Tamandua tetradactyla: one gene and its partners. The protein of the gene in region 4 interacts with the protein of the main gene of each other region in a pairwise test. Links are inferred from orthologs where the notes say so. Each region holds a gene or a part of one and is shown on either strand. Other genes may lie near its edges. The genes, in order: KHDRBS3, TRIM54, SRSF1 and LNX1.

The links.
Region 1: the proteins of LNX1 (region 4) and KHDRBS3 interact in a two-hybrid assay, tested with the Homo sapiens proteins (2 studies listed by BioGRID and IntAct). The link is inferred for Tamandua tetradactyla from reciprocal best matches to the Homo sapiens genes LNX1 and KHDRBS3.
Region 2: the proteins of LNX1 (region 4) and TRIM54 interact in binary tests that used the Homo sapiens proteins (3 or more experiments, as listed by UniProt). The link is inferred for Tamandua tetradactyla from reciprocal best matches to the Homo sapiens genes LNX1 and TRIM54.
Region 3: the proteins of LNX1 (region 4) and SRSF1 interact in a two-hybrid assay, tested with the Homo sapiens proteins (3 studies listed by BioGRID and IntAct). The link is inferred for Tamandua tetradactyla from reciprocal best matches to the Homo sapiens genes LNX1 and SRSF1.

The regions. Positions count from the first base shown.
Region 1 is NC_135332.1:179,346,752-179,353,888, forward strand, and holds the start of KHDRBS3 (KH domain-containing, RNA-binding, signal transduction-associated protein 3), read left to right. Parts: upstream 1-4,120; 5' UTR 4,121-4,170; coding exon 4,171-4,258; intron 4,259-7,137. UniProt on the Homo sapiens protein: RNA-binding protein that plays a role in the regulation of alternative splicing and influences mRNA splice site selection and exon inclusion. Binds preferentially to the 5'-[AU]UAAA-3' motif in vitro.
Region 2 is NC_135329.1:11,235,694-11,242,668, forward strand, and holds the start of TRIM54 (tripartite motif-containing protein 54), read left to right. Parts: upstream 1-3,962; 5' UTR 3,963-4,007; coding exon 4,008-4,226; intron 4,227-6,211; coding exon 6,212-6,384; intron 6,385-6,975. UniProt on the Homo sapiens protein: May bind and stabilize microtubules during myotubes formation.
Region 3 is NC_135332.1:38,936,228-38,944,180, reverse strand, and holds the start of SRSF1 (serine/arginine-rich splicing factor 1), read left to right. Parts: upstream 1-4,948; 5' UTR 4,949-5,094; coding exon 5,095-5,288; intron 5,289-5,721; coding exon 5,722-5,906; intron 5,907-6,256; coding exon 6,257-6,429; intron 6,430-6,631; coding exon 6,632-6,826; 3' UTR 6,827-7,953. UniProt on the Homo sapiens protein: Plays a role in preventing exon skipping, ensuring the accuracy of splicing and regulating alternative splicing.
Region 4 is NC_135345.1:53,898,036-53,905,010, reverse strand, and holds the start of LNX1 (E3 ubiquitin-protein ligase LNX), read left to right. Parts: upstream 1-3,954; 5' UTR 3,955-4,371; intron 4,372-6,975.

The DNA of each region.
Region 1 (7,137 bases), on a different chromosome or scaffold from region 4:
CCTGGGGACGCCGGACCCCGGCGGCTTCCCGGCAAGCGGAGTCGGGGAGGTGGGCCGGGGTGGGAGTCGGGGGGGCGGTGCTCGGCCAGGAAGACTCGGCCGCGGACGCGCAGGGCAGGGGGCTAAGGAGGCGGAAGGCCTCATCCCGCGTACGGGATAGCGTGCGTGTGAGTGTGTGCACGCGTACACGTGCGAGTGTGCGGGCGTGTACGTGCTGTATCCAAGTCTCCCTCACCACCCATGGGTCACTCTCTGCGCCACTGTCCCCTCGTCTCTAAAAGCCAGGGCCCCCCGCGGGTTGGCCGGGCCCCCGCAGCTGCCCGTGGGGTCTCTTGCAGGTTGCGTGAATGAACCGCGGGGGGCGCGTTAGGACCGCAGCCTGCGGCAGAGGCGTGCCTGACTTGAGGCTCGGTGGCGACCCCGACTTGGAAGAGCTCCCCGGTGCCCCCGCAGTGGCTGGCCAAGTTTTCAGCGTGGAGGGCAGCATTTCCTGCTGAACCCGGGAGGCGCCGGGGTCGGGAACACTCGTGGGGCCTCCCTCCTCCCTATCCAGACATCCACACTACGGGCTTTCTAGGCAAGGTCGGGCCACCTTTGGGGGCTTGTCTCACGTGGCAAAGTTCTGTGCCCCAGGGCCCGAGCAGCCTGCACTGGGGCTGCGATTAGGGGGCATGGCTTGAGAACCAGGGGCCCGGGGCTGGGGCGGGCAGGGGCTAGGGGCCGTGGTCGCCTGTGTGCTGAGTGACCTGTGGGCAGGGCATGGGCAGAGCCGCCGAGGCCAGTGAGGAGCACTCTCAGGCTGCAGCCCGCTCCCCCCGCAGTCCTGAGAGACCCGACTTCTCCCCTCCCTGTTTTTTGGGACCCCGAGAGCAGCTGACTCTCCATCACACCGCCCCTAAGGAGGGGAGCCGGGGCCCAAACCGGGGTCTGTCTGGGCGCAGAGCACACCAGTACAGTTGGACGTTGGCCCTGCGCCCGCAGTACTGCAAGCATTGGGGGAGACCAGGCTGGGGCTCCCCTTTCTCCAATAGAAGGCACAGGAGGCTCCCAGCCAGGGCAGCGATCCCGGGCAAACGTGACAGCTGTCTCCCTCACACACACTGCCACCTTCATTCTGTGTCCTCAGGCAGTTGGGCAGCGCCTGACCTCCTGCCCTGAGTGTGATCAGGTCCAGGGAGTGTTTGTCCTTCTCTCCTGGGCTGGGGGGCTGGGGGTGGTGTCCCGGCGGGTGGCTGGGACAGGAAGGACTTGCTGTGGGGGCAGCACGATCCTGGGAGGGCCCTGGGGTCCCGGGTGAGGTGGGTAGGGGAGGCCCCCCTGTCTTGGGGGCATGGAGCGAATCCGAGGGGAGGGGGCAGTTTCTTATTTCAACGCAGAGTAAGTGGTCCCTGGAGGCCTCAAGGGACTCAGGAGAACTGTCCACGTTGTATCCCCGATGCCCAGGGAGGCAGTGCCCGTAGGAGGTGCCGTGCAGCCAGCACTCCAATGAGTACCATCACACACCCCACCACGCCCCCCTCCAAGACTGCCTGGGTGTCAGGAGCCCTGAGTGGGTGCTGCCTGCAGCCGCTGGCCAGAAACGAGGCCCGGATTGAGTTTCTCCAAAAGGATCCATGTCAGGGCCCTGCAGAGGCGCTCTGCCCCCGACCCCACTGGGGACAGTTTCCTGAGCATCTCACGGAGCCGTGTGTCTCCTTCCTCCCTGGAGGACCCAGGGGTGTGCTCAGGGGCCTTAGGCAGAGTGTTGACTGCCCTGACGTGTACATGGTGATAAAAAGTATCTTCCCTGCAGGTATCGAGAGGACTGGAAACAGTGACTGCAAAGCACCCAGCACGGTGCCCGGCACTTAGTAATGCTTTCTAAAAACCTGTCCTTACTGAAGGTTGGCCGAGTGGCTGGCGCAGAAGGCCCACATGGAAGATGTAGAGGAAAGAGAGCCATGGGGGGGTGGTGCAGGGCCCAGGGCCGGATGGGAGCAGCTGTGCCACTGGTCCCCATTCTCCCCTCTGCGTGTCCCCGAGGCTCTTCCTCCCTTCCTCCCTTTCAAGCAGCTGCCGTGGGTCCAGACTGCAGTCCTGTATGCAGGACCACAAGCCAGGCGCTTCCATTCAGGGTTAAAGGAGGAAACGTCTCCCCATGAAGCCTTTAAACTGCCTCTGGGACAGCAGACACAACGGGGTTTTGGAGATGTAGGTCTGCGGCTCTGTGGGGTGAATCAGTGGGGTGTCACGATGAATCACCAGAGGAGCTGGCACAGGGGACGACCCTGCCCTGCCAACCCCGCTCTGGGCCGGGGGTCACTGGGGTCATGCACTGGGTCCTGGGTGGGGACCCTGAGGGGTGGTGCTGGCTAAAGGCCCCTGGGGCCACAGCTGAAGGGAAGCACCGTGCAGGAGGCAGAAGAAAAGGAGGCATGGAGCCATTGAGTTCACATGTCAAGGTGCACAGCTCCTGGGCAGCAGAGCCATGATTCCAAATCCAGGTCGCCTGGCCCAGAGGCCACACACTGGGCCATCTAATCCTCTTGCAAAATCCTTGTGAGAAGGTTCTACTGTACCTGGTAGTCAGGTCAGAAGGCGTGCTTGAGCATAAGGGGACTTGGGCACGGAGAGTGGGGGCTTTAGCAGCAGTCTGCAGTCTCCTTTGGTTTCTTCTCCCTGGTTGTACAGCTGCCTCCATTTGCATTTAAGAATCCAGGGGGTGTGGTGGGGGGGCTGTGAGGACGCCCACAAGGGGCGGCAGGGCTCTAGCTTATTCCTTTAACAAACTGGTGCTCCCCAGGCCCTCGCCCTGTCACCGGCTGCGGACCCTCCCCCTAGCCCAAACCCTACCCAGACTGGGAGATGCTCAAGTGTTCCTGCTATGGCGGTGGGGGTGGGGGTGGCGTGGTGGGGGGGAGGGAGGTCGTCCTTGGAAACAGATCATTACTGGTCTCGCTGGGGAGTGGCCAGCTTTGCAGGGAAGTCCGGGAAGGGTGTCCAGGGAAGGTGACATTGAGGCTGGCTCTTGAGCTTGGAGTTTGGGGGGGGGGGGAGGCAGGAGTCCTCAGGCCGCTGGGATGTGTGCTGCACATACGCTGGGAAATCTGAGCGCAGCGTGGGGGAGCCTGTGTATCCGGGGGCGTCTCCCCGCGAGGGGACTGGGCAGCTCGTTCATCCGCACCCAGGCACAGCCGGTTCCACCGGCGAAGAGAATGACAATGGGGTGGCAAGTCGGGTGTGACAAAGACGCCCTGAAGGGCACGCGCTTTTATGTAATCGGCCTCGGAGCCACGAGTCCAGGAGGCGGGCGCTGGGAGCCCGAGCGCCGGGCGCGGGCTGCGCCCCCCGCGACGTTTTCTTGCAAATGCAGAGGCGGGCCAGGCGAAGTCAGACGAGGAAGGAAATCCAGGGCGCGTCCAAGGGCGGGCGGCTCCCCCCGTGACCCTCCTCCGCCGCCTGGGGCCAGCGCCAAGCTGGGGCCCCTCTCCTCCCTCCAGGCTCGGCCCTTGTCCCGGGGGGCTGTGTGCACACCCCGCTTTCCGGGCTCACTCTCCGGGTGACCTTGGATGAGCCACTGAGCCTCTCCGGGCCTCAGTTTCCCGGCCTGCGCCCTACCACGGCACCTCTGCGGCCTCTCCCCGAGGCCCGCGCGCCCCCAGACCCCGCCCGGCGCGGGCCCGGCCCCCCGCGCAGTCCCGGGCCCCGCGAGGCGGTGCTGGCGGCGGCGGGAGGGCGCGGCGCGCAGGCGCGGCGGGCGGGGCGCAGCGCGGGGCGGGGCGTGCAGGCGGCGCGAGCGGGGCGCGGGGCCCGAGCGCTCAGAGAGCGCGGGCGGCGCTGGGCGTGCGGGTCGCTGGCTGCCGGTGCGCGGCGCGGCTGGCGGGGCGCGCGGGGACTGCTGCAGGGTCGCGGCCCGCGCCGCCCGGCCCGGCCCCAGGCGCCGGCTCGGCTCGGCGGCGGCGGCGGGAGCACGGGGCAGCGTCCGGGAGGCAGCGGCCGCGGGCGCGGGCGCGGGGCAGTCAGCGGCCACCGGGGACCGGGGCCGCGCGGTCGGCGTCCGCACCTGTGCCGCCGCCGCCGCCGGGTCGTCCGCCCGGCTTGTCGCGCCGCGCCCGGGTCCGCGCCGCCGGGGGCGCGGGGCCGCCGCGGGCCGCCTCGAGTCGGCGTCCCGGGCCCCGGCGGCCGGCGAGCATGGAGGAGAAGTACCTGCCGGAGCTGATGGCGGAGAAGGACTCCCTGGACCCCTCCTTCACACACGCTCTGCGGCTGGTGAACCAGGGTGAGGGCGCCCCGGCGGTTAACTGTCGACCGGGCCGTTGGGGCCCCGGCGGGAGCGGCGGGCCGGGTGGAAGCGTGGGGGGCTGCGGGGTGCCACTGGCTGGAACGCGCTGGGCGCTGGGGAGAGACATCGCGGAGGCTGTGGGGAGGGGACAGATAGGAATCTGGGGGCATTTGGGTGGGGACCCGCGAGAATATGGGACTTCTGCTGGAAGACGGGGATGTGAATTTAGGGGGCTTAGGAAGAAAGGAGAAGACTGGGGGGCGGGGTGTCGGGTGAGACTTGAAGGGAATCTTTGGGGACTTGGGGATACCCCAGGGAAACTTCTGGACGGGAAACAGATGGGGAAGAATCTGGGGCTTTGTCGGGGAGGAGGTTGAATGATCTCATCGGAGAAGAGAGTGCGGGGGACAAGGGGAACTAGGGCATTTGGTTTGTTTTAAGGGACTGGAGAAAGAGCTGGAGGAACATGGAAGGATTTGAGGGAAACAAGTACAGACGAGGTGAAGTAGCAGGTGCTTGGATTGTTGGTGAAGTTTGGGGACCTTGGAGGAGGTTTGGGGTCAGACCCAAAGCATCTTTGAAGAAAAGGATCTAGTGGTCCCAGTGGAGGAGCCCTCTGTTCCTCCCATGTGCAGGAGGCACTACAGTCTGCCCTCCCTGGGGGTAGGCATCTCACCAGCCTGCAGCCTGGCCCTTGGAGGAGTCAGTAGAAGAAGCGGGCACAAGAGCCCCCTTCTCGACTGACTTGCTTCTCCTCTTCGGGAAGCGCTGGGTGGGTGACTCTCATTAGTGTCTGGGGTTCAGAATATTGGCAGAGGAGTCCTCTCTGCCTGTGTCGTCGTAGCACCTGTCCGTCCAGCTGAGCGTGAGAACCTCCGGGCAGTCGGGGTCGGGGCCGCCTGCCCTCAATGTCGCCTGGCCGGGCCCCTGGGCTTTGTGAGGAACCTGCTGGGATGCCCGGTAAATGAGTCCCTCGGGAGCAGCCCCGCCCCGCCTGCGCTTGGAACCCGCGTTTCAGCCGAAGATGGATTGGGGGGCGGCTGGTTGTCTTTCGGGGAGGACAGAAACGGTGTCTGGTCAGAGGCTAGCTGGTGACCGAAATCGCCCTGGGTGGCCAGCGCGTGGTCCCCGAGAGAAATCGGATCTGCCGTTCTCAGTGCTAGTCCTGGCTCTTCTCTCGTTGGAAGTGAAGGAGGACGTGGTTAACTCTTATTTGATACAGAGATTTTTACATTTGAAAACAGCAACTTCTAATATTTGCCTGATGCAACCGGTTCTTCAGAGGAGGGTGTGTGCTGTCGACTGGTGGAGAGAGGATCTTACTGTCTCCAAGAATTTGAGCATGCTGTCTGAATTGCTGAACAGGAATGGGTTTACAGAGCGTCCCCATTTTATTCTAATTGCAGGCTTATTTTTGTTTCTCTAATAAAATGGATTTGTGAAAAACTAATGGGCATGTATTCTTAAATGAGAGAAAAAAAATTAGGTTTTATTCCTGTACTGTTTGTTCTGAACAGTTCTCCAGTTAGGTTTGTATTCATTGTTCTTTATGATTTACGTATATCTCTTTTTTGCCTGCTGGGCTGTTATCTCTATGAAAGAAATTTCTTTGTACATTGTGTGAGATCAGTGGCATGAGAAATACTCTGAACTGGGCAATTGAGTACATTTTTCTTAATAAGGAAACAATCAAAGTTGTGGTGTACTCAGTTAAGGAAATAACCCAACTGAAAACAATAAGTTATTTCAAAAGTCAATTATTTTTGTGTATCATGTTGGTGTAGCGTTGTGTTGGTAATACATGGGAAATTCTTTTGGTTTCTGTTACTTCCAGTGTCAGTGGCTTGCAGTTACTTGAAACAGGTATTGGAGAAATGTTTTTGTTGTTGCTAAGCTGGATTACCTTTACTTTTCCATCAGAAATGTAATTCTTGTGAGAACGACAGTTCTCACGTTGAATGGGATGTGAAGGAAGGAAGAGGTGCTCCTCCTGTGTTCTTAGGAGGACTGTTAATTCAGATTACTTCAGACTAATGTTTTCCCTTCACATCATGGGCAGACATCCAGAGTGCAAAGCCCTGCAATTTAAAATATTAATTATACTCTGTTATGTAACTTCATGCTCACTAGTGAACTTTTAAATAAAGCACAGTGTCTTGAGTCTGAATTAGAATCGATAGTTAGGAAGCTTTATTTTAACATCTGAAGTTCATCTCAGTATTGGCGATGTGAAAAGATCTATTCTTCTTTAGCTAAATGTTTGGCTTTGTCTCTGAAAACCATGCTTTTCAGGGGTTGTTCTGAATCTCGACCCTGGAATTGATATTCCGGCTCTAAATTGTGCAGTGATAATGGGTCAGCATTGCAAACCTTTATTTTATTGCCAAGTGACATAAAGTAGATGTATTTTACGGTTTACATCTCCAGATGCTCTCAGCGCCTTATGTTTGCTTAGTATTTTAAAGTTGCCGGGGCACTTCCCCCTTCTCGCCGAGGCAGCCTGCAAGGCTGGAAGGGGGGGGGGGGCGCCGCTTCTTTGGGCGCACGGTGGGCGGCCGAGATCTGATTTGAACCCAGGTCTCTGGGTTGTGCAGCTCTCTACTTGTTCTTTCCACCTTGGCCCTCCACCAGAGAGGAAATGAAGTACTCCTCATACGCGCCTTCAGAGCCCTGCAGAAATCAATGTAGTGCACCCCATCGTACCTGAGGGCTCAGCATAGGGAGGACGACCTGCAGGAAGACTTCCCTTGATTTTTTTCTCCTGAGTTTCTTTCTGGACATGTTTTCCATGGTCTTTAAAGATTCAAACTATGGTGCATTCACTGTATAAGATTTTCGTGCTTAGGCCAAGTATCACTTTGGAATTAAAGAACTCC
Region 2 (6,975 bases), on a different chromosome or scaffold from region 4:
TCAAAAACAACCTAATTCTCTAGAACAAAAATAGTTCATGCTTTTTTTGGAGGGAGGGGTGGGGTGGGGGTATGTGAATGGCACAGGACTCAAACCTGGGTCTCCTGCATGACAGGTGAGCATTCTACCACCGAGCCATCCATGCACCCCTCATGATTCTTTTTAAGGCCATTATATGAAGTCTATAGGATGGGTTGATAATACCAAATCAAGTATATGAAAATTAAAGTTTTATAATAATGACAAAGAAATTTGTATTACTGTACAACAAATGTGTTGTGGCTTTTAAATGTTCAGATTCTTTTAAGGAAACATACATAAGACTCCTCTAGTTGTTAGTAGATGGTTTTCCTATATGAATTCTATTATAGTTTTGGTTAGACTGTTCTGGTCTCCAAAATGCCTTCTCCACACCTTCGCGCAGGTACACCCCTGCCCCAAGGCAACCCTCCATCTTTCACTTTGGTGGGTCTCAGCATCTCTTCCACCCTTCCCCATAGTGGGGTCCTAGGCGGCGAATGTCAGGGACCTCACATTTGTATAGTTTAGTGCTTTATAGTTTACAAGGGGGTATCCCAGCATTCTCCCATCTACTCTTCTCAATGAGAAACCTGGGCTGTAGATAAAGCAGAGACCAATAGCCTCTTTTAAAGATGGAGAAACGGTGACTAGTATCTTCATCTCTTGACTGCTAGCCTCACGCCTTTTTCCACTGCCTGGGTTTGGACAACCAGCTCCTCTTTGGTCACTGCAGTGTCCTCCTCCTAACGGAGCTCCCTGGCTCTCACCTACCTTCAGTGTATCCTCCTCACATAACTTTTCTAAAATGGATACTCGATTACATCATTCCTTCTGCTTAAAGCTCCTAAATGGCTTCTCATGCCCCTACGAGCAGAGTCCAGACTCTGGAGAGAGGTACACCAGGCCCTCAGGCGCTCTCCTTCCCCATTCCACTGCCTACACGCTCCCGCCAGCACCCAGCACCGCTCAGTCCTCCGGACATGGCCAATCCAGATTCACTTGTAGGCTTTTGCTGACCCCCTTCCTTTGACCTGACACACTCTTTCCTCCTTCCCTGTCCCTTTACCGGGCTCACCCTTAGTCATCCTTCAGAATTAGCAGAGACATTACTAATCCCCAAACTTCCCTCCCCCCTTAACTGCTCAGTTAGGTGCCTACAACAGGTCTTTGGGTGGCTGCCTGGTTCTCCACCATTCCCTTCAGAGGCTGTGCCCAAACCCATGCCCTTCTTTTGGAGCTGTGCTCTTCTCCCTTCCCTGGTGGGAGCTGCTGTCTTTGACTCGAGCCTCAATTTTTTTTTTTAATATATTTTTATTGAGAAATCTTTACACACATACAGTCCATACATGGTGTACAATCAGGTGGCTCACAATATCATCACACAGTTGTGTATTCATCATGATGATAATTTTTTAGAACATTTGCATCACTCCAGAAAAAGAAAAAGGAAAATAACTCATACATACCACACCCTTACCCCTCCCCATCACTGACCAATAGTATTTCCATCTATCCAATTTCTTTTACCCTTTCTCCTCCCTATTATTTATTTATACTTTTTTTAAAATCTGTCCATACCCTGGATAAAAGAGGCATCAGACACAAGGTTCTCACAACCACACAGTCACACTGTAAAAGCTACATCTTTATATGATCATCTTCAAGAATCAAGGCTACTGGAACACAACTCAACACTTTCCAGTACTTCCCTCCAGCCACTCCAATACACCATAAACTAAAAAAGGATATCTATATAATGCATAAGAAAAACCTCCAGGATAACCTCTCAATCCTGTTTGAAATCTCTCAGCCACTGAAACTTTATTATGTCTCATTTCTCTCTTCCCCCTTTTGGTCAAGAAGGCTTTCTCAATCCCTTGATTCTGGGTCCCGGCTCATCCTGGAAGTTCTGTCCCTCATTGCCAGGGAGATTTACACCCCAGGGAGTCATGTCCCACATAGAGAGGGGAAGGCAGTGAGTTCACCTGCCAAGTTGGCTTAGAGAGAGAGGACACATCTGAGGAACAAAAGAGGTTCTTGGGTGGTGACTATTAGGCCTTAGTTTATTTTTTTTTCACATTCATCATCATGATCATTTCTTAGAACATTTGCATCAATTCAGAAAAAGAAATAAAAAGACAACAGAAAAAAATTCATGCATACCATACCCCTTACCCCTCCCTTTCATTGATCACTAGCATTTCAATCTACTAAATTTATTTTAACATTTGTTCCCCCTATTATTTATTTTTATCCCATATGTTTTACTCATCTGTTGATAAGGTAGATAAAAGACGGATCAGACACAGGTTTTCACAATCACACAGTCACACTGTGAAAGCTATATCATTATTCAATCATCTTCCAGAAACACGGCTACTGGAACACAGCTCTACACTTTCAGGCAGTTCCCTCCAGCCTCACCATTACATCTTGACTAACAAGGTGATATCTATTTAATGTGTAAGAGTAACTTCCAAAATAACCTCTCGACTCTGTTTGGAATCTCTCAGCCATTGACACTTTATTTTGTCTCATTTCGCTCTTCCCCCTTTTGGTTGAGAAGCTTTTCTCAATCCCTTGAGGCTGAGTCCAACTCATTCTAGGATTTCTGTCCCACGTTGCCAGGAAGGTCCACACCCCTGGGAGTCATGTCCCACATAGACAGGGGGAGGGCAGTGAGTTTGCTTGTTGCGTTGGCTGGAGAGGAAGGCCACATGTGAGCAACAAAAGAGGTTCTCTTGGGGGTGACTCTTAGGCCTAATTTTAATTAACCTTGACCTATCCTTTGTGGGGTTAAGTTTCATATGAACAAACCCCAAGATTGGGGGCTTAGCTTATGGCTTTGGTTGTCTGCACTGCTTGTGAGAATATGAAAAAAAAATTCAACTTGGGGAAGTTGAATTTTCCCACTTTCTCACCATTCCCTGAAGGGGACTTTGCAAATACTTTTTTATTCACTGTTCAGATCACTGTGGGATTTATCAGGGCATCACTCTGGACAAACCAACAACATCTCATGCCCTACTCAAGATTCCATGTACTTATGGTGTTCAATTAAGCTGTCTACATAAGTTATATTAGGGAATTTGGCCTCATTTTAAGTAAGTTTAGCCTATCCTTTGCAGGAATAAGTTTCATAGGGGTGAACCCCAAGATCAAGGCCTAACCTATTGATTTGGTTGTCCCCACTGCTTGCGCATATATCAGAAATTCTCCAAGTGGGGAAGTTGAATATTTCCTCCTTTCTTCCCCCCAACTACGCAAGGGGACTTTGCAAATACTTCTTTATTCACTGCCGAACCACTCTGGGATTTATCGGGGCATCACATTAACCTGAGCAAGTCAACAAAACCTCACACCCTATCCATGATTCCATGTACTTAGTGTTCAACTAAACTGAACATAGGAAGTTAAATTAAGAAATGCACTACCCAAAATATAGATTTTTCACGCAATAAACATCATTCCCTTTGGTCTCACACAGAAGTTGAAGTTTTAAATAATGGATGATATCATCCTTTACCCTGTATTCTGATCTACCACAGTCCTATCCAGATTTCTTCATTCATATCTCTACTCAAAGACTGATCACTTTTTCAACTTTTTAAACAGTTCTTGCATGGGGTACTGCTGACTTTCATAGCTTCAGGGTTTTAACTCTGAGTCTCAGGTGTCATATAGATACCCGAAGTTTCTGGGAACGAGCATGCTATATACAAACAGCCAAGCCCCACTTTTGAAAGGGGAACACATGACCCAGCAGGGCCAATCATATTACTTTGCTCCATAGGTCTCAGCAGTTGGTCCAAAGTCTGAGCATCTGCCCCAAGCTGGGCCAATCAGAGTCTCCTCAGAAATTTTCAAAATTTTCAGATTGGCTGAGAGAAACCCATTCTTCTTAGAGTGGGAGAAGATGAGGCTGGGGGGATATCAGCCAGGAGTTGGTCATACCCACTGATACCCTTTCCACCACCACTTGTTGCATGGAAGGAAGTTGTGCTGTGGTTTGTTTCCAGCCCACTTTTGCAGCCAAAAGCAACCTGTGTGACAGAATAGCCTTTTTTTCTGATTCAGGGCACATTGGATTTCAAGAATCAGAAAACTGCTCACGTATGCTTAAAGAAAGAGGAGTGATCATAAGAATTTGGAGAATTTCATTTAACCTAATTGCAGGAAACACATCTAAATATGGAAAGTCACAGGTGATTACTTTCTCCATTACAATCTAAGTGTACAGGATCTTCTGGGTGTTAGGATTAGGTTCTGCTGTGACAGAAAATCCCAAACTGGCTGAAAGAAGGTAAGAATTAGTGTTTTCTCTCAAGTGTAAGTATGGGCAGGCAGACCAGGACTGCTGCTGTGACACCATGCTCATCAGAGGTCTGCTCCTTTTATCTTGCTGCCCTTCTCGGCATGTGGTACCATCTCATGGTTCAAGACAGCTGCTTCATCTCCAGCCATCCCACATTCATTCCAGCCAGCAGGAAGGAGAAAAGGGCAGGAGTAGGGTGTGTGCATTTCCATTAAAGATACTTGCACAAAGCACTTCTGCCTATACCAAATGGCCGGGAGATAGCAACATGGCAACATCTAACGAGAAAAGAGGCTTAGATGCATGGTCTTTATTCCAGGCAGTCATGTGTCTTGCTAAAATTCAAGGACTCTATTATTGAAGAAGAAAGTGGGGTGAGGGGGTGGAGATCAAGGAATGACAAGCAGTCTCTGCCTATTTTTCCTCCTGGCTTCTCTCTACATATTGGCTCTTTTCTCTTCTCTGCAGACCTGCCTTCTCTCTAAGGCTCATAGCTTCTGCCCCCCACACCGTCTACTTCCATTTGGGTGGTCATAATGTCAGCTCTTAGCCCAACTCCATAGGCCTTTTCCAGAGCTGCACTTGCTCAAGCCACTTCAGCCTCTATGTCTCAAATCCAGATTCCTAGGAGAGAATATCTGGCCTTGCTTGGCTCAGTTGATCACCCTCTCAACTCTGAGACCATCACCTGTGGCCAGGAATAGGTAGTCCTAGGCAGGGCTCTCCCTTTTAGGATGGGAGGGAGCAAGTGCTCTAAGAAGAGGGTGTACATGGGAAGAAGCGATGAGCATCTGTGGTACATCCTCCTTCGGAGCTTACCCTTGTCATGACACCCATCCTGCAAGAGGCAGTTTTCTGTTTGCTTGTCCTTAGGACAGGGATATGCATTTTGTTCATATCTTTATCTCCTGGGACCTAGCAATTACCTGGCATACTCAGTCAATATTTACAATAGAATGAATACTCCATTCTAGTCCTTTAGAGAGGTTGAATGCTTGCCCAAGTTCACATCGTGAAACAGTGTCAGGGACAGCACCAGAGCCCAGGACTCCTGGACTCCCAGCCCCTGGAAGCATTTCCCAGAATCACCCAGCTGGTTCAGCCGGACCTCTGCTTGTGCTCCCACTCAGTTCTGCAGAGAACCCACTCAGGGTCCATTTCTTATCTTAGCTCTCCTATCCAGGCCAGTTTCTCCCTATAGCTCCATGCCAGGCCCCTTTGGAGAAATCCCATCCCAACAAGGCTGTCTTAATTTCACAGCTGCTACAACAAATGCCACACAGTGGGCTGGCTTAAACAACAGGAATTTATTGGCTCACAGTTTCAGAGGCCAGAAGCCTTGCTTCCTCTCAGGTTTGGTAGCATTCTGGCTGGCTGGCAATCCTCGGGGTCCTTGGCTGTCCTGTCACATGGCATGTCCTCTCCTTTCTCTTCTGGGTTCTGTTGCCTTCCACATCTACTCCTTCACATGGCTTCCTCTTCATAAAGCCTCCAGGAAGAGGGCGAAGGCCGAACCTCATCCGTTGACCACCCCTTAACCAAAATAGCATCTTCAAAAGGCCTTGGCAATGGCTTCCCACCCATAGGAACGGGCTAAGATGAAGGACATGTTTGTTCTGGGGTATGCACCTTCTACGCCTTGGCCACAGCTAAGCTCTGGACACACAGACACTCAAGGAGCTAGAGCTGAGTAGTGAGGCAGAGTGGGAAACACGATGTCTATGGCCACCCACACTTTGTTGCTCCCAGAGGAAGCCCCAGCTGTGTAAACAGGCTGATGCCTGCCCCTCCACCCTTCCCCTCCTGCTGCAGGCCCTTGGCCTCTCCTCCAGCCTCCCCCCAATTCCCTGATGCCTCGTGCTGCCTCCCCCGCAGGCCTCCAACCCCCTGTGGCAGTCCCGGGGCTCCTCCACTGTGTCCTCGGGAGGCCGTTTCCGCTGCCCTTCCTGCAGGCACGAGGTCGTGCTGGACCGACATGGGGTCTATGGCCTGCAGAGGAATCTGCTGGTGGAGAACATCATTGACATTTACAAGCAGGAGTCCTCCCGGTGAGCTGTCAGGGGTTCCCGCCTCTCCAAGGCCTGGGGCCTGGGACACAGCCAGGGAACCCATCCAGGCCAGAAAGGGAAAACAGAAACCAGCCACCTACCCACCTCTTCAACCTCTTCAGTTTGGAGATGAGAGAATGGGTTACAGACGGGGGTGGGGAAAGCGCAGAGGTGGGGGAGCGGGGGAGTGGGGGAGTGGGGAGGGATTTACCCTGGGTGCTTTGATATGGTTACGTTGGCTCAGAATATCTACCCACAGTAGCTGATGAATTATCCACCCCGGGGACATGTGCAGATCATGGCAGGAGGGCTCCCCTGAGATTTGAGATAGTTTCCCTTGTTTCCATGACAAGTGGGTCATTCCGGTTGAAGTCTGGTTGAAAGCACCTGTGAGGTCCTTGTCAGCTCTCCACGTGGGACTTCCCTGGCCCTGGGATACAGATCATGTGAGGCTCTTCCTGGATCCTGGCCTCTTCTATTCCTCTCGCTCTTTCTATTTCCCAAACTAAGAGCCCAGTGGGAGGCACCCACCAGCCCACACAGCCCCAGTTGCAGGAGCAGAGGGTGTGGTGGTGGTGGTGGTGGGTGGTG
Region 3 (7,953 bases), on a different chromosome or scaffold from region 4:
TGGGTCTATTCTCTTTGGGGTGCGCTGCACTTCTTGGATCTGTAAATTTAGGTCTTTCATAAGAGTTGGGAAATTTTCAGTGATAATTTCTTCCATTAGTTTTTCTCCTCCTTTTCCCTTCTCTTCTCCTTCTGGGACACCCACAACATGTATATTTGTGCGCTTCATATTGTCATTCAGTTCCCTGATCCCCTGCTCAAGTTTTTCCATTCTTTTCCCTATAGTTTCTGTTTCTTTTTGGAATTCAGTTGTTCCATCCTCCAGTTCACTAATTGTAGCTTCTGTCTCTTTAGATCTACCATTGTAGGTATCCATTGTTTTTTCCATTTTTTCTTCTTTGTCCTTCACTCCCATAAGTTCTGTGATTTGTTTTTTCAGATTTTCTATTTCTTCTTTTTGTTCAGCCCATGTCTTCTTCATGTCCTCCCTCAATTTATTGATTTGGTTTTTGAAGAGTTTTTCCATTTCTGTTCGTATATTCAGCATTAGTTGTCTCAGCTCCTGTATCTCATTTGAACTATTGGTTTGTTCCTTTGACTGGGCCATATCTTCAATTTTCCGAGCGTCTTCCATTATTTTCTGCTGGTGTTTGGGCATTTGATCAGATTTCCCTGGGTGTGGGACCCGGCTGGTTGAAAGGTTTTTCTGCGAAATCTCTGGGCTCTGTTTTTCTTTTCCTGTCCAGTAGGTGGCGCTCGTGGCGCTCGTCTGTCTGCACAGCAGTCGGCCTGGGAAACCGCGCGTGGAGGGGGGGTCGCTGGCCGCCGCGGCTTGGGAGAGTGCCGGTCCAAATTGCCCAGCTGGCCCGAGATGCCAAGCGTGACGGGAGGGCCCCGCTATCCAACGTTCCCAGTCAGACCGGGGAGCCACGTGCGTGGAGGGGACCCCAGTCGCCAGCCGCCCCAGCCGGGAAAACGCGCGCCCCTCGGGTATCTCACTGCCGCGGATTCTCCCTGCCCGTTCAGCCGTTCCAGAATGGGGTACACTGTCTTTTTGGTCTCTGTCGTGACTCCAGGAGCTGTTTCGTATTGTTTCTGTTTCTTTAGTTGCTTTTCTGGAGGAGGAACTAAGACCCGCGCGTCTTACTAAGCCGCCATCTTCTCCGGAAGTCAAACAGAATGGCTTTTAAAAAGGGAATTTATTAAGTTGCAAGTTTACAGTTCTAGGGCCATGAAAATGTCCAAATTAAGGTACCAACAAGAGTTCACTTTCACTCAGTCAAAGCTGATGCCCTCTGGAATGCCTCTATCAGCTGGGAAGACGTGAGGAAGTCTGCTAGCTTTCTCTTCTGGTTTCTTGTTTCATAAGGATTCCTTAGGGGTCTTTTCCTTTTGCGTTTCCAAGGGTCTTTTGCTGTGTGGACTCCAAAACCTTCTCCATAATGGTTCCTTCTTAGAGGGCTCCAGTAAGCAACCCTACCTTGAATGGGTGGAGACACATCTCCATGGAAACCACCTAATCAAAACGTCCCATCCAGAAATATTTGAAAAGGATTTAAAAACATGGCTTTTCTGGTGTACACAACAGTTTCAAAATAGCACAGAGGGTTTTCATTTACCCCCATCTTTTAAAAGAAAGTTTCATTGAGGTTTAATTTTCATACCTTACAATTCACCTGTCTTAAGTGTTTAATTCAATGATTTTTAGTATGTTTACAGACTTGTGTAACCATCATCACAGGGAGTTTTAAATATTGAGCAAATCACTGAAAAAGTGCATTTGTGATTTCAACCCCTGCAGTAATTAATTTTCAAAATTTTGCAGTCTCTGAAGTAATCATTTCCAGGAGAACGTATGGTGCCAACACTAGTATAGAGTTACTGGATTGAACTGAAAACATTTTGTAAGTTTCTTTTTCAGGAAGCAACTTTTCATAAAGAGCAAGTGTTGAAAATAAGATTGCTTCTGAGAAAAGAGCTAGTAAAATCCATATCAGTTGGTTGTGGGCTCAATCCATAAGACTTCCTGTGAAAGTGTACTGAGTTTAGAAACACCTCGAAACCCAATAAAGGTGAGGATGTAATCTCAGAAGTCAAAACTGGAAGTGGCTGTAATTTGACCCGCAAAAACCTAATCAATTGTCTAGTGCACTGTTTAGAGAACGTTAATGTCAAGATCAGCCTACAGAAAGAATTGTCAATCTTTACCTAGTACTTTCCAGGAAACAGAAAACATCAAATCCGGCGAATATGAATATTCCTTTCTTTAAAGAGGTGTACTTTGTGTACTTTGTTTTTGGGCAGGGATCATTTATCAGGTCTCACCATGATCTGAATGAAACATCCCTCAAAATGATTCACCTCACTTTGTTCTGAGTCCTCATTTAGTAAGAAACAGTCTGCTTTGCTTTCCAGACATTCCAAAACAGTTGTCTTGGCATGTACATTTGAGCCACCTCATCACCAAAACTGAATCTGTCCCTACCTCCAGTAAATGAATAAATAGTTTCGTTTATTTGCCCTCTTGTCTATTAGTGGAATGAAATTTGTTAATCTATTCTGGGACACTGCTGACATTAAGATCCCATTCTTAGATTGTAATAATCACCAAATTAATGTCATTCTGGGAGACCTTGATAAATAGCCATCCAGATTTTCCTTGTCATACCCTAATCCCTTTGATTCCAGAACCTACAATTTGAATATTTTCAAATATAAAAAGGGGTAGCAGAGTTTGTGTCTCAGCTTCCTGGCTAAGATCAAGTGTAAAAAGGCCAGTAGATAAACAAGAAGGTCCTATTCACTCTTCTTAAGTTCTGTTTTGTATTTCTCTGAACTGAACAGAATCAGAAATATTTGCATTGAATTAGACAGACACGAATAAATCAAAACAAATAGTTTTCTTATTTTTCTGAATGAGAGTGTCTTAAAATTAAAAGCACCTATGTTTAGAACACTTCAGTTATCACTGACATAACACAACGTTAATCAACAGATGACTGAGTATTTCTTAAATTGATGGGTAAAAACTGGAAACGAAGACAAAATGTGATCAGTAATTAACTGTTGAAGGAATGAAAAATATATGACCAAAATTAAAACAACAATTCTTATCCATGGTACTGTGCCAGAAATTGAATAAATTTGTTGAAATAGTGTCCTTTTTGGTCTGATTCTTCTCACTAAAAAAAAAAAATCAGGTTCTTTTTTTTATTAAAAGCTCAGTTTCAAAATATATCATTGAAGGACGGCCTGAAAAGGTAATCTATCCTTTCTTTAAAAATTTCAAGTGTTCTTTTTCCTTTTGGAATTTTTAAGAATATGATTAAAATTTCAAAATTTCTCTCCAAAAAAAGTACACACACACATACACATAATTTTGGAAACCATTACAGAGAATTCAAGGACTACCAAAGGTCCTATAGATCTGTTGAGGATCTACAGACCAAAAGTAAGCATTCCTACTCAAGACGTTTCAAACTGAATTTGTATTTTGGGATCACTGAGAGATATGTGTAAAACACATTGCCAGCTTTTAGAACTAAGAAAACATGCCCTTCTCCTGAACAACCAATTTACTTTTTAATCTCAAGAGCACTTTGAATTTTGAAAATACAGGTGTTTCCTTCTTTAATGTGGCTTCTGGGAAGACCAGAGTCAAATTTGAAATCCATCTCTTAGAACTCAGCAGGCTCTTACTGCAGGCATTTTATCTACTAACGTTATCTGAGACGTCATCTTAATTTCTTCCTTATTTTCCCATTCTCCTTATTTATTCATTCAGTTATAATACTGTCTAATTCTATCTCTGTAAGCCTCATCACATCGTTGGGGAGAAGTACAAATAAGTAAACATAATGAAGAAAATCATCATTAAACTCAGGGTGCAGATGTTTTAGCAAATCTGACTGCAGGGTTTTCATAAAATTTGAATTTATTACTAACATTTAAAAATCCTAACATTTCACATAAAAATCTGGGAAAACGTAAAGAGCCAACACTCAAGCAGGATGACAATTCTGAGAAGCAACTGTGCCTTACGGTTAGTCATAGTTCTCACACATTCATTTTGCTAATTTATATTACCTGAGAAGCCAATAATTCAAAACTGTTGTACATAAATATTAGGGGGAACGCTTCAAAAAGGGATTACCTTCGGGATTTTGCAAACTCCCTAAAAATACTTTTTCTTTTTCGTCCTCTGAAATGTGGAAAAACGACAGGCACAATTCATTCTCCAAGCTTTCACTGAGCCTTTCCTCTACCCGAAGCCCAGCAAAGACACAATGAGTGGAGCAGAGGAGGTCTTGGTCTTGGAGGCGGTACGATGTTGTTTACCCCACCGGTTATCAGGTTCCACTTATGATTGTTTAGGATCGCCCTAACACAAAGCGTGTTGAATTGAGCCGTGCAAAAGTTAAGCCCTGAACCGAAGGTGGAACAGTACTTTTTTGCAGAATATTTACTAAGGAATCTAAACTGGCCCTAGGTCTTTTCACAGGTGAAAGGGCGGGAACGCAAGGCCACGCCTTGACTCTCTACTAAATCACCAGTAACACAGCTCCCGCACAGGGTCCACTCTCGGAAGATGCCCTAGTTTCGGGAGCAACCAACTGGTCCCACCCCCTCGACCCCGCCCCCGAAATTCTTTCCCGCCAAAGACCGTTAACACCGCAAAGCATGGTGGGACAAAAGGCTCTAGGCTGTTTCACCAAATCCTTTTAAGGCGCCGATTTGCCTTAAAAGAGGCCCATTCCTGGGGAAACTGACTGTCTTTCAAGGCCCGACAGGCACGAATAGCCCCTTTATCGAAGTCCCGGATTTAATTTTTATAAAAGGCTGGTCACCCCCTTGGCAAACCGCACTGCACAGCGAGAACGCGGGGAACTTTTTTCCCCTTCGTGCGGAGGGTCACGTCGAGCGTGCGTGTGCGTACTTCTCAACGCGCTCGTTACGTTTTGCGCGTGCGTATTGAGAGCGAATCACTACTTCCTCTCGTTTCTCTTCCTCCCTCCGTCGATATCCGTGCGCCCAGCAGATAAAGGCGCCATTTTGGAGGGGCCGCGGGAGACGTGGTGTCGCTGCGGGTTCGCTCTGTTGTGCGCTAGGCTTGGTGGGAAGGCCTGTTCTCCAGTTCGCGCTTTCCGTAGCCGCCATGTCAGGAGGTGGTGTGATTCGTGGTCCGGCAGGGAACAACGATTGCCGCATCTACGTGGGTAACTTACCTCCAGACATCCGAACCAAGGACATTGAGGACGTGTTCTACAAATACGGCGCTATTCGCGACATCGATCTCAAGAATCGCCGCGGGGGACCGCCCTTCGCTTTTGTTGAGTTCGAGGACCCGCGGTGAGGCGGCATGGGGCTTGCGGCTTTGAAGAAATAGGTTGGAGTAGTTGGGGAGGCTGTGAGGCCTTAACATGGAGAATGGGGGGGTGGGGCAGTACTCTTGGAGAGGTTGGGGGCGAGGCAATATCGCCCACGCTGGAGTTGAGTAAGGAGGCAAGTTGGTTTGGCTTCTGTGGTGGCCTGGCCCCATGGACATCCCTTGAGCCGACTTGCATGTTCCGAGCGGGAAACTGAGGAGCTCTGGGCTGTCGTATCGTCTGGAGGCTGGCATGCTTCTGGGTGGGGGAGGGGCCATTTCTATTATGCAGCGCGTGTGGGCTCTTCCACACTCGGTGCGCATGTGCGGGTTTTGATGGTGTACTAGCTCTTGACCGAGTTAAGACTTCCTTTGCCGGACCCTTTTCTTATCTCTTTGCTTTCTGTGGTCACGCAGAGACGCGGAAGACGCGGTGTATGGTCGTGACGGCTATGATTACGATGGATATCGTCTGCGGGTGGAGTTTCCTCGAAGCGGCCGTGGTACAGGCCGAGGTGGCGGTGGGGGTGGAGGTGGCGGAGCTCCCCGAGGGCGCTATGGCCCCCCATCCAGGCGGTCTGAAAACAGAGTGGTTGTCTCTGGTGAGTTATTGCTGTTATGGGTTGATGAGAGGGAACAAACTACTGTAAAATTGTTCTTGTATGCTTGACTTGATAATTGGAAGTTTTCATGCTAGGTCTTAAGTTTTGTTCTTATTGGGTGAATTTTAACGAACAAGGATCGCTGTAATGAAAATGTAACCAAGTAAGATTGCAGTACTAGAATATGAAGATCCTTATTTCGCAAATAGTTTTGGACTCTGGATTCCAGAATCTTGCTTGGAATCATTTAGGTACAATCATTATTTTGACATAATCTTTGTTCTAATGTACATTACACATTTAAGGTGATATTTGAGATACTTGGTATTGAAAAAAAAATCACTTTTCAGGACTGCCTCCAAGTGGAAGCTGGCAGGATTTGAAGGATCACATGCGTGAAGCAGGTGATGTATGTTATGCTGATGTTTACCGAGATGGCACTGGTGTCGTGGAGTTTGTACGGAAAGAAGATATGACCTATGCAGTTCGAAAACTGGATAACACTAAGTTTAGATCTCATGAGGTAGGTTATACACTTATTCTTTTCTTTGGCCAGAATTGGATACAGTGGTCTTAACAGTGGAATTTGAAGGTAAGGATTCAGGCAAGGGTGTCCAAGTAAAGTGCCAGATCATTTCTGGTTTTAGTTTCATTGATTCATTCAGCATGCCTGAAGTCAGGTGAAAGCTTAGATCTTTCAATCGAAAGTTCTGTCTATCCACTAGGGAGAAACTGCCTACATCCGGGTTAAAGTTGATGGGCCCAGAAGTCCAAGTTATGGAAGATCTCGATCTCGAAGCCGTAGTCGTAGCAGAAGCCGTAGCAGAAGCAACAGCAGGAGTCGCAGTTATTCCCCAAGGAGAAGCAGAGGATCACCACGCTATTCTCCCCGTCATAGCAGATCTCGCTCTCGTACATAAAATGATTGGTGACACTTTTTGTAGAACCCATGTTGTATACAGTTTTCCTTTACTCAGTACAATCTATTCATTTTTTAAAATTCAAACTGTTTTGTTCAGAATGGGCTAAAAGTGTTGAATTGCATTGTTGTGTAATATCCCCTTGCTCCTAACATCTACATTCCCCTCATGTCTTTGATAAAAATTGTATTTTAAGTGATGTCATAGACAGGATTCTTTAAATTTAGTTAACTCTCCATGCTCTTCAGACTGTGATAATGTGTAAATGTCTATTCTGCTCTGGTTTGTGTGAACTGGGATGTTGGGGGTGTTTGTGGTTATCTTACCTGGGGAAGTTCTTATGTTTATCTTGCCTTTTCATGTGTCTTTCTGTAGACATATCTGAAGAGATGGATTAAGAATGCTTTGGATTAAGGATTGTGGAGCACATTTCAATCATTTTAGGATTGTCAAAAGGAGGATTGAGGAGGATCAGATCAATAATGGAGGCAATGGTATGACTCCAAGTGCTATTGTCACAGATGAAATTGGCAGTATTGACCTTATACTAAAAGGCAAGGGTTAAAAAGTAAATCGACCTTAAAAGACATGCAAACATCTTATGCAGTTATGTGTAGCTACAATTGCTTTGCTTTTTAAACCTTGGCAATTGTGGCAAAATTACATTGCCCATTTTGTAACAATTTATTTTGCTCCCTTCCCTCTTTTTTTGTTTTAATAGGGACTAATGTGGGAAGAACTGGCTAATTTTGTCACAGTGCTTAGTTACAACTGTTAATGTGTGACCTGCTGTTGGTGTACATGTGGGTACAGGGTGTCTTTTAATTCCAACCAGATAGAGTATAATATCAATACTGCTAAATCTGCATGTCCTCTGTGTGACTGATATAGCGTTGCTATTTCATTTTTTTAAGACAAAATGAAAACAAAATACAGAATTTCAACATATTGGTGTAGATAATTTAGTTGGGAATACGTTAAGTCTCACCTTCCCCTTTAATATTCATGATTGACTCATGCCTAAAACACTTAATTTACAAATTAAATTGCAGATGGGAACGTTAGCTTTAGTTTAGACTTAGGTGGGTACCAATACCAGTAAACTTTTCAACTACATAACTTTTTGC
Region 4 (6,975 bases):
CACAGCTCCTGCCCTCGTGAAAGGAAACCTAGCTGGGTTTAGGAGATGGGGTATGTGTTGATGAGTAAACTCTGTTTTATATTAAGCAGCTAGGCAAATAAATAATAGACTTTAAAATTGTATAAAGTGCTATCAGGAAAAAGAGGAAGGTATCTCTAGGAAATGGACATTTGAGCTGAGACTTGAAAAAGGAGAACGTGTTAGGCAGGCAGACAGGGAAAGAGAACAGAGTGGTATTGTGCATGCATGTGTGTGGGCGGAGGTCAGTGGGGACCAGCTCAGGGATGGCAAAGCCATTCCTGAGCATTCAAGAAACAGGCAGCAAGCTCGTATGGCTGGAGGGTACTCAGTGAAGGAGAATGTAGCAGAAGCAATGTTGGAGAGGTGAGCAGGGACCAAATTGTGCCAAATCTAGTGATCCATGTTAGGGGTTTTGTATTTCATTGTGAATGCAATGGAAAGCCTTGAAGCTTTTTGACAGGCTAATGGCATATTCTGACTTTCCTTCTTAAAAGTCTAGTCTGGATGTGGTGTGAAGTCTAGATTTGGTAGAGGGACTGAGGTCAAGAAGTGAGGCAAGGAGGCCTTTTAGGAGACTAACTGCAGTAATCTGGATGAGAAAGGGTGGATGGGTAGACTGAAGTTAGCAGAAACAGAGGGCACTGGTTGAAGTTAATATAAATTTCGAAGGTATAATTCGTAGAGCATACTCGTGGAACACTTGGATGGATGAAAAGGTCATTTACTGGGAAACAGGAGGAAGAAGGGGAAAAGATTAAGAGTCGGATTTGGATGTGTGAAGTTTGAGATGGCTGTGAGACACCGAGAAAGTAGTTGAAAAGTAGAAGAGAGGTCTGGACCAGAGAGATATGAATGAGAGAGTTGCTGGCATAGAGATGGTTGTAGAAAGACAAAACAGAGTTGAGTCTGCAGATTACAGCATTTTCTTCAAGACACCAAAAGTTTTGCTGTAGCAAGTAAGCCAGATCACTTGCAAAAATGAAGCAGCTTTGAGCTCCTAGGGAAGGCAAGCAATTTTTATAAACATAAAAAGGAAGTCACCTTGACTCCTATTGATTGGATGGAGGTTTGTCCTCCATCCAATGTTACGTGGGTTTAACACAGATGGGCTTTATTTGGTATTGGGTCAAATATACTGAATTAGGGGCTTGATCTGAGTTGGCTACCTTGGTGGAGATTTCAAATTTCAAAAGCTTTCAGGAAGAAACTCAAGAGGGAATTCAAAGAGGAAGTTGTGCTTTTTGTTTTGTTTTGTTTTGTTTTGTTTTGGCTCTAAGAGGTTCCCGGGGCTTTCTCTATATGATTTTATCGTGGTACTTCAAGCTTTCCCTCATTGTCCAATCCATTTGTAAGGATAGGTGGGCAAACTATAAGTTGCATACTCATGATCAGGGAGAGGAAGGCAATCAGTCTGTAACAGTTCAGAGAAACAATTTTCTATCTCCTAATACGATAAATCCATTTTCATCCTGAGTATCTTGTAAAGGTGAAAAAGGGCCTGAGCGAAAGAAAGCTGGGTCAGATGATTTCTTTGTCCCAGTTAGAAGACTGAAATGGCTGCTCCATCATTTTACATTTCTTGGGTTTAATATCCTTCCTTCAAAATGCACCAAGAATGAGACAATTTTCTCTGCACGTAACTGGGCATATTACTTTTCTGGAACACTCTAAAAATAGGCCATTTGTCCTTCTATAGTGAAGGCATGCTTACTTTCCCATAGTTATTAGGGTTTAATTACATCTGGACATTTCTGCTGAGTTGGAATCTGTCACTCTCCTAGAATCTCCCACACCAAATGGAAATGACACTCTTAAGCCATAGAGTTTAAGCAGGCTCAGGTCTCCATGCTGTGGGCTGCCAGGCAGTGAGTAATTCTGGCTTTGGAAAGGGCACGTTTGTAAAGCTAAATTAATACGTCCTGTTTTCATCCGTGACTTCTTTCTGTTTCCAGTTTTAAACAATCAGCTGCCTTGGTTACATGACCATGCAAAAAAAATTTTTTTGAGGTGTGTGTGTTTATCATCAATCCCAGAATGGACCCTACTCTTGGAACTGAATCAATCAGTACTGATCCATATGCTCAGAGGAGAGGAAGGAGAAATAAAATCCATCTACCTTACCTTTCTGAATGGAAAATCCCAAAGCTTCCGGCAGTCCCCAAATCTGCTGTGAAGCAGATGAGGAACATGAAAGCTTCCATTACATCAGCTCCTTTCCAACATTTTGGTTTTTCATTTCAGATGATAAGGTTGAAAGGCCCATTTGACTGTTATAAATTGCCTCTCTTCATCAAAGAACTCCAAAACCAGAGTCTGTAAACATTTCTAGATGCTGCATTTAATTGTAAACTACTGGGAAAGAAAAATGAAATGATATCTAAGCTAAATGCCCAGACTCTTTCCAATCTTCCTCTTTATCGCTGCAGCTCTGGTGAAGTTGTCTTTAGTCTCCTTTAAGAAGAATGAAAAGCTGACCAACCTCAAGTTTGAAGTCTCATTTGACCCTAAGGCAAAATACTCCAAGCTCCCCCAAACCAAATCCAAGGGCAACAGGGGTGAGCAACTGTCATGATGTTGCAACTTGTATATTTGTGAAAACTGACAACTTGGTCCTCTCTGGGAGCCATCTCCATGCCTGCTAATTAATGGTTTTACTTTCCTTTGACTACCTGCCAGCTGTCTTGGGGTAACCACCATGGCACAAGAGAGTTAATTGCTAACAATTGGAAGTCAAGATGAAGGCAATAAAACCCGAGAAAGTCTAGTGTGACCTGAGGACTGAAAGCCACATGTGCTGATTTCTCACCAGCAGAAGTTTCTGGGCTGGGAACTTAGTTTCATCCCTTGCATGAATTGTTGATTAAAAGAAGCTTGTAACTGTCAGGCTCCTGAAGTCAAAAGAACAAACTAGTGATCGAGCCATGACCAAAACTCACACGGAGGCCAAAAGATTTATAGAGCACATCCTTGCTTGTAAATAAAAAAAAAGACAGTGGAGAATCAAAGACAGTCAGAAGCCAGCAGCACCAGGTTTGATCAGAGAAGGCAGTAGGTGCCTGGGTTATATGTGACCTACTTGATTGTTGAACATGAGATAGCACCAATTAACATATCTGGAGAGAGACCACTTTAACTGATGAATTAGAATTCTATTCCCAGAGCCAATCTTTCATTTAAGCCAGGTCTTTAGCCATCACTGAAACTATCAGCCCCCAGAAATATTTAAGCCTACCTGGTGGAAAAAGCAAGACTGAGAAAAACAGTTTCAGCAATGCAATTCTTAAATTTTGAACTAGCTGGGTCATTGTGTGGGAGTGTCTAAACCTCTCTGAGCCTCAATTTCTTCATCTACAAAATGAAAATTATAGGATTATAGTGAGAATTAGATGAAGTAATGCAGGTCAGGAAGTTAGCACAGGGCCTGGCACAGTAAAATGCTCAACAAATATCAGCACAGATACTACTGATGCTGCTGCTGTTTCTGAAGGTGATGGTGATGGTGATAACGAAGAATGAGCAGAATCCTATATCATTAGAGTTTAAAAATCATACATAATGTCAGCCATATTCTTGTTCATTCTTTTTCTGCAAACACTAACTGCTGTTCACCTATGAATGGTACTGCTTATGGAAAATCTTTGGAAGTTTTGGCATAATACTGGAAAAAAAATCATGATTGCTTGATTTGTCTAATGTAGGTAATTTAGCGTGTTTCTTTGTACATTTGAAAACAAAAAGATGCTCAGGATTCTGAGACCAGTCCAGGAGCTACTAAGCCCCTGTCTCTTTAGCAACTAGTCCCAAGCAGGAGGATGTCCCAGGCCTAATGATGACCTGAAGGTGCAGTGACGCTGTGTTTGTTTCCTTGTTGATTTCCCTTTCCTGGCTCCAAGCTCATTTTCCCAATGCCTGCAGGAAAACAACAACCAAGGGTGCGGTAGGCCTGACTTGGCAGCCCTAAAGGTGAACAAAAGGATCCCGATTTTTGGCGTGAGCAGAAGGAAGTTCCAAGGAGCCTCAGCCCCATTCAAAACAGGGCAGATATGTCACTAACGATAATGAGTGGCTGTTCAGAGGTGAGGGGTGGGGGATGGGTACGGCTCTCCCACACGGCTCCCCACTGGCTGCTCTCGGGGTTTATGGGTCTGCTCTGCTCAAAGCCTCACAGAAAGGGCAGGCGGTGCGCTGATTTACTCCTGAGTGTAGACAGGTGGATGGTCTGCATGTGCGTCTGGGAGACAAGACCCAGGAAAAAGAAAGAAAATGTTTCTGTGCAGAAAAGCTGAGTTTCCAAACGGACTGTCACCTGAGCCTTCACACAACTGGGGACTGATCCACAACGAAGCAAAGGTAAGATGCCTGCCTAGTTTCTCCACCTGCCAGGACCCCCCACAGTTTGGGAAAACTGCCCCTGACACCCTAGTCTCTGACATCTGCCTTTACCTGAGACAAACACACACATACAATCAAGTTCTTACAGAGGCAGAAGTATCTAGCTATGTCTTTTTCAAGACCTAGAAAGGCCCCAGGACATTTGCTTTTCTTACATCCATTTTTTTTTCTTTCCTCACTGCTCCTCATATAAACCTCTTTCTTCCTTTATTCTCAGCAATGAAAAACACTTGCCATGCAAGCCAGGGTAAACATCAGCAATTCTTTTCATGGTAATTGGATTTTAGGTAGCATTATACTTTATCCCTATTCACACAAATGTTTTGTTTCATTTCTGTGGTAGGAGCAGGTATTGTCTTTGCATTTTCACCCGTGGAGAAATTTAGCTCCAGGGAAATTGTGACTTTCCCAAGGGCACATAGGTAGGTGGTCACTGGCAGCAACTCCTGCCCCCATTCCTGCCTCTTTTCAGTAGAATATTGACTGTGTTTTCTAAACAAACACCAGGCGACATTCTCTGGAACATATTCTGACAAATAGTCTGATGAGAAAATGGATTTTAGAAATTGGGACGCTCCTGGAAAATCCTGAAATAGATAGTGACAGCATTCAGTGCAATATACCCCCTTGTTATTGATTCCTGTTTACTTCCATTCTTGGGAATTGAAGACAGTTCAACAAATGCTGATAGACTATGTCCCCTGGAACCAACTCTGGGTCACATGTCAGGATGTGGTGCCAGCTCTATGCCCAGGGAGCCAGAGGCAGAGGTTGTGTGTGAGAATAGTCTCCTGGGGAGGTGAGCTTCACACATGGGCTTTGCATACGGTGAAAGCTTGCTCTGTGGGGAGAGCATTTCAGATCAGCAGAGTTCCTGAAATATATCTCAACCAGAAAACATTTACAGCAAGACGGTGGCAGTAGGGCAGAGGGGTGAAGCCTGGCCTGGGGGATTACATTGTCTGGCCTTGAATCCTGGTTCCATCTCCTACTAGTACTGCATTCTGGGGTAACTTAATTCATCCCTCTGGCCCCAGTTTACTGACATGTAAAATGAGAATAATGGGAATGCCTACCTTATAGAATTGTATTAAGGTTTAAATGAGATAATGCTATGAAGGTTTGCTGGCACATAATAAGTGCTCAGTAAATGCTCTTCAGGAAATGATTACCATCTGCCTGGGAATACAGATAGGGGGTTCCTGTCCTCGATTTCATCAAACTTTTGTGAGTTAGCTATACACAATTAACTGTGTGCTCTGTGACAAATGCTCTGGAATCTCGGAGTCAGGATCTGCTCAGTGTGTGGGAGTTGGATTCTGGGTGAAGTGGAAGAAGGCTACACAGCAGAGGGCCTGTGTGTAGAGAGGTGGCATAGAACTGTAAAAAGAGCTCTGCAGATTGGTTTTCTAATCCCAGCATGATCTCCTCCTAGATGCATAACATGACCAAGTTATTAAACGTCCCTGAGCCTCTATTTCCTCATCTATAAAATGGGGATGATACTTAACTTGAAGAACCATTGTGATGATTAGAAACAGAACACATAGAAGATGTATCCCAGGTTCCAAGCCTTACAAGGTGCCTAACTGGCAGTGGTTTTTCTTAATGATACTTTAGACCAAGTCTCAAATGAACATGGTCTCCCCTCACAATCCAGATTACAGGTGAACACCGAAGAACTGCCCCTCAGTTATTTATCTCACAGACTATTCTAAGAGGACAAAGGAGACCTCAAGTGTTTCCATGTCTTGGTTCTAGCAGATGAGCCCATTGTCAGATAAGTTAGATGGACTGTGTGATCATCTCTGCAGGTACAGCATCCTCTTTCTTTCCATTGTTCAGGAATCTGTCCACTCTTTACTAAATGAGAGAGATGAAGATTACCTACCTCTCTTGCCTTGGCAGAGCAGCCGCAGGCAGCAGATAAACCTGGATTCTGCCTTTAGGGCAACTGCCCCAAGCTTTCTCCACCCAAAGCAGCCTCTGAGTACCTGTGACCTGCCAAGTATGGGAAGCATTATACTTCCTGACTTAGCATATTCATTACAATGGATATAGATATAGACACATCAATGTAGATGTAAATATAACTATAGCTGTAGATCTATAGACCAGATGTTGCTATATAGATTTTTTTTTTTTTGGAAAATATCACAAGCTTATACAAAAGTTGCAAGTACAGTACAGTGAAAAGTATGGTAATAGAACTTTTGCACTATCTTTTTCCTGAACCATTTGAGAGTTAGCTATCAATGAGATGCCACATTATCCCCCAACACTTTGTGTGCATTTTCTATTAACAAGGACATTCTCCTCCATAACCACATTATACCCATCAAAATCAGGAAATTAACACTGATACATTATTACTATCCACTCACAGAACCCAGTACATTTTCATCAACTGTCATCTAGTCATCAGGCCAATTCAAGTTGTTTCTAATTGTCCCAACTATCCTGTATGGCCAAAGAGCACATTTCTGAGCCAAGTGTTGCATTTAGTTGTCATGTCCCTTTAGTCTGCTCTGGTATGGAACAATTTCTCCATACTATTCTCTC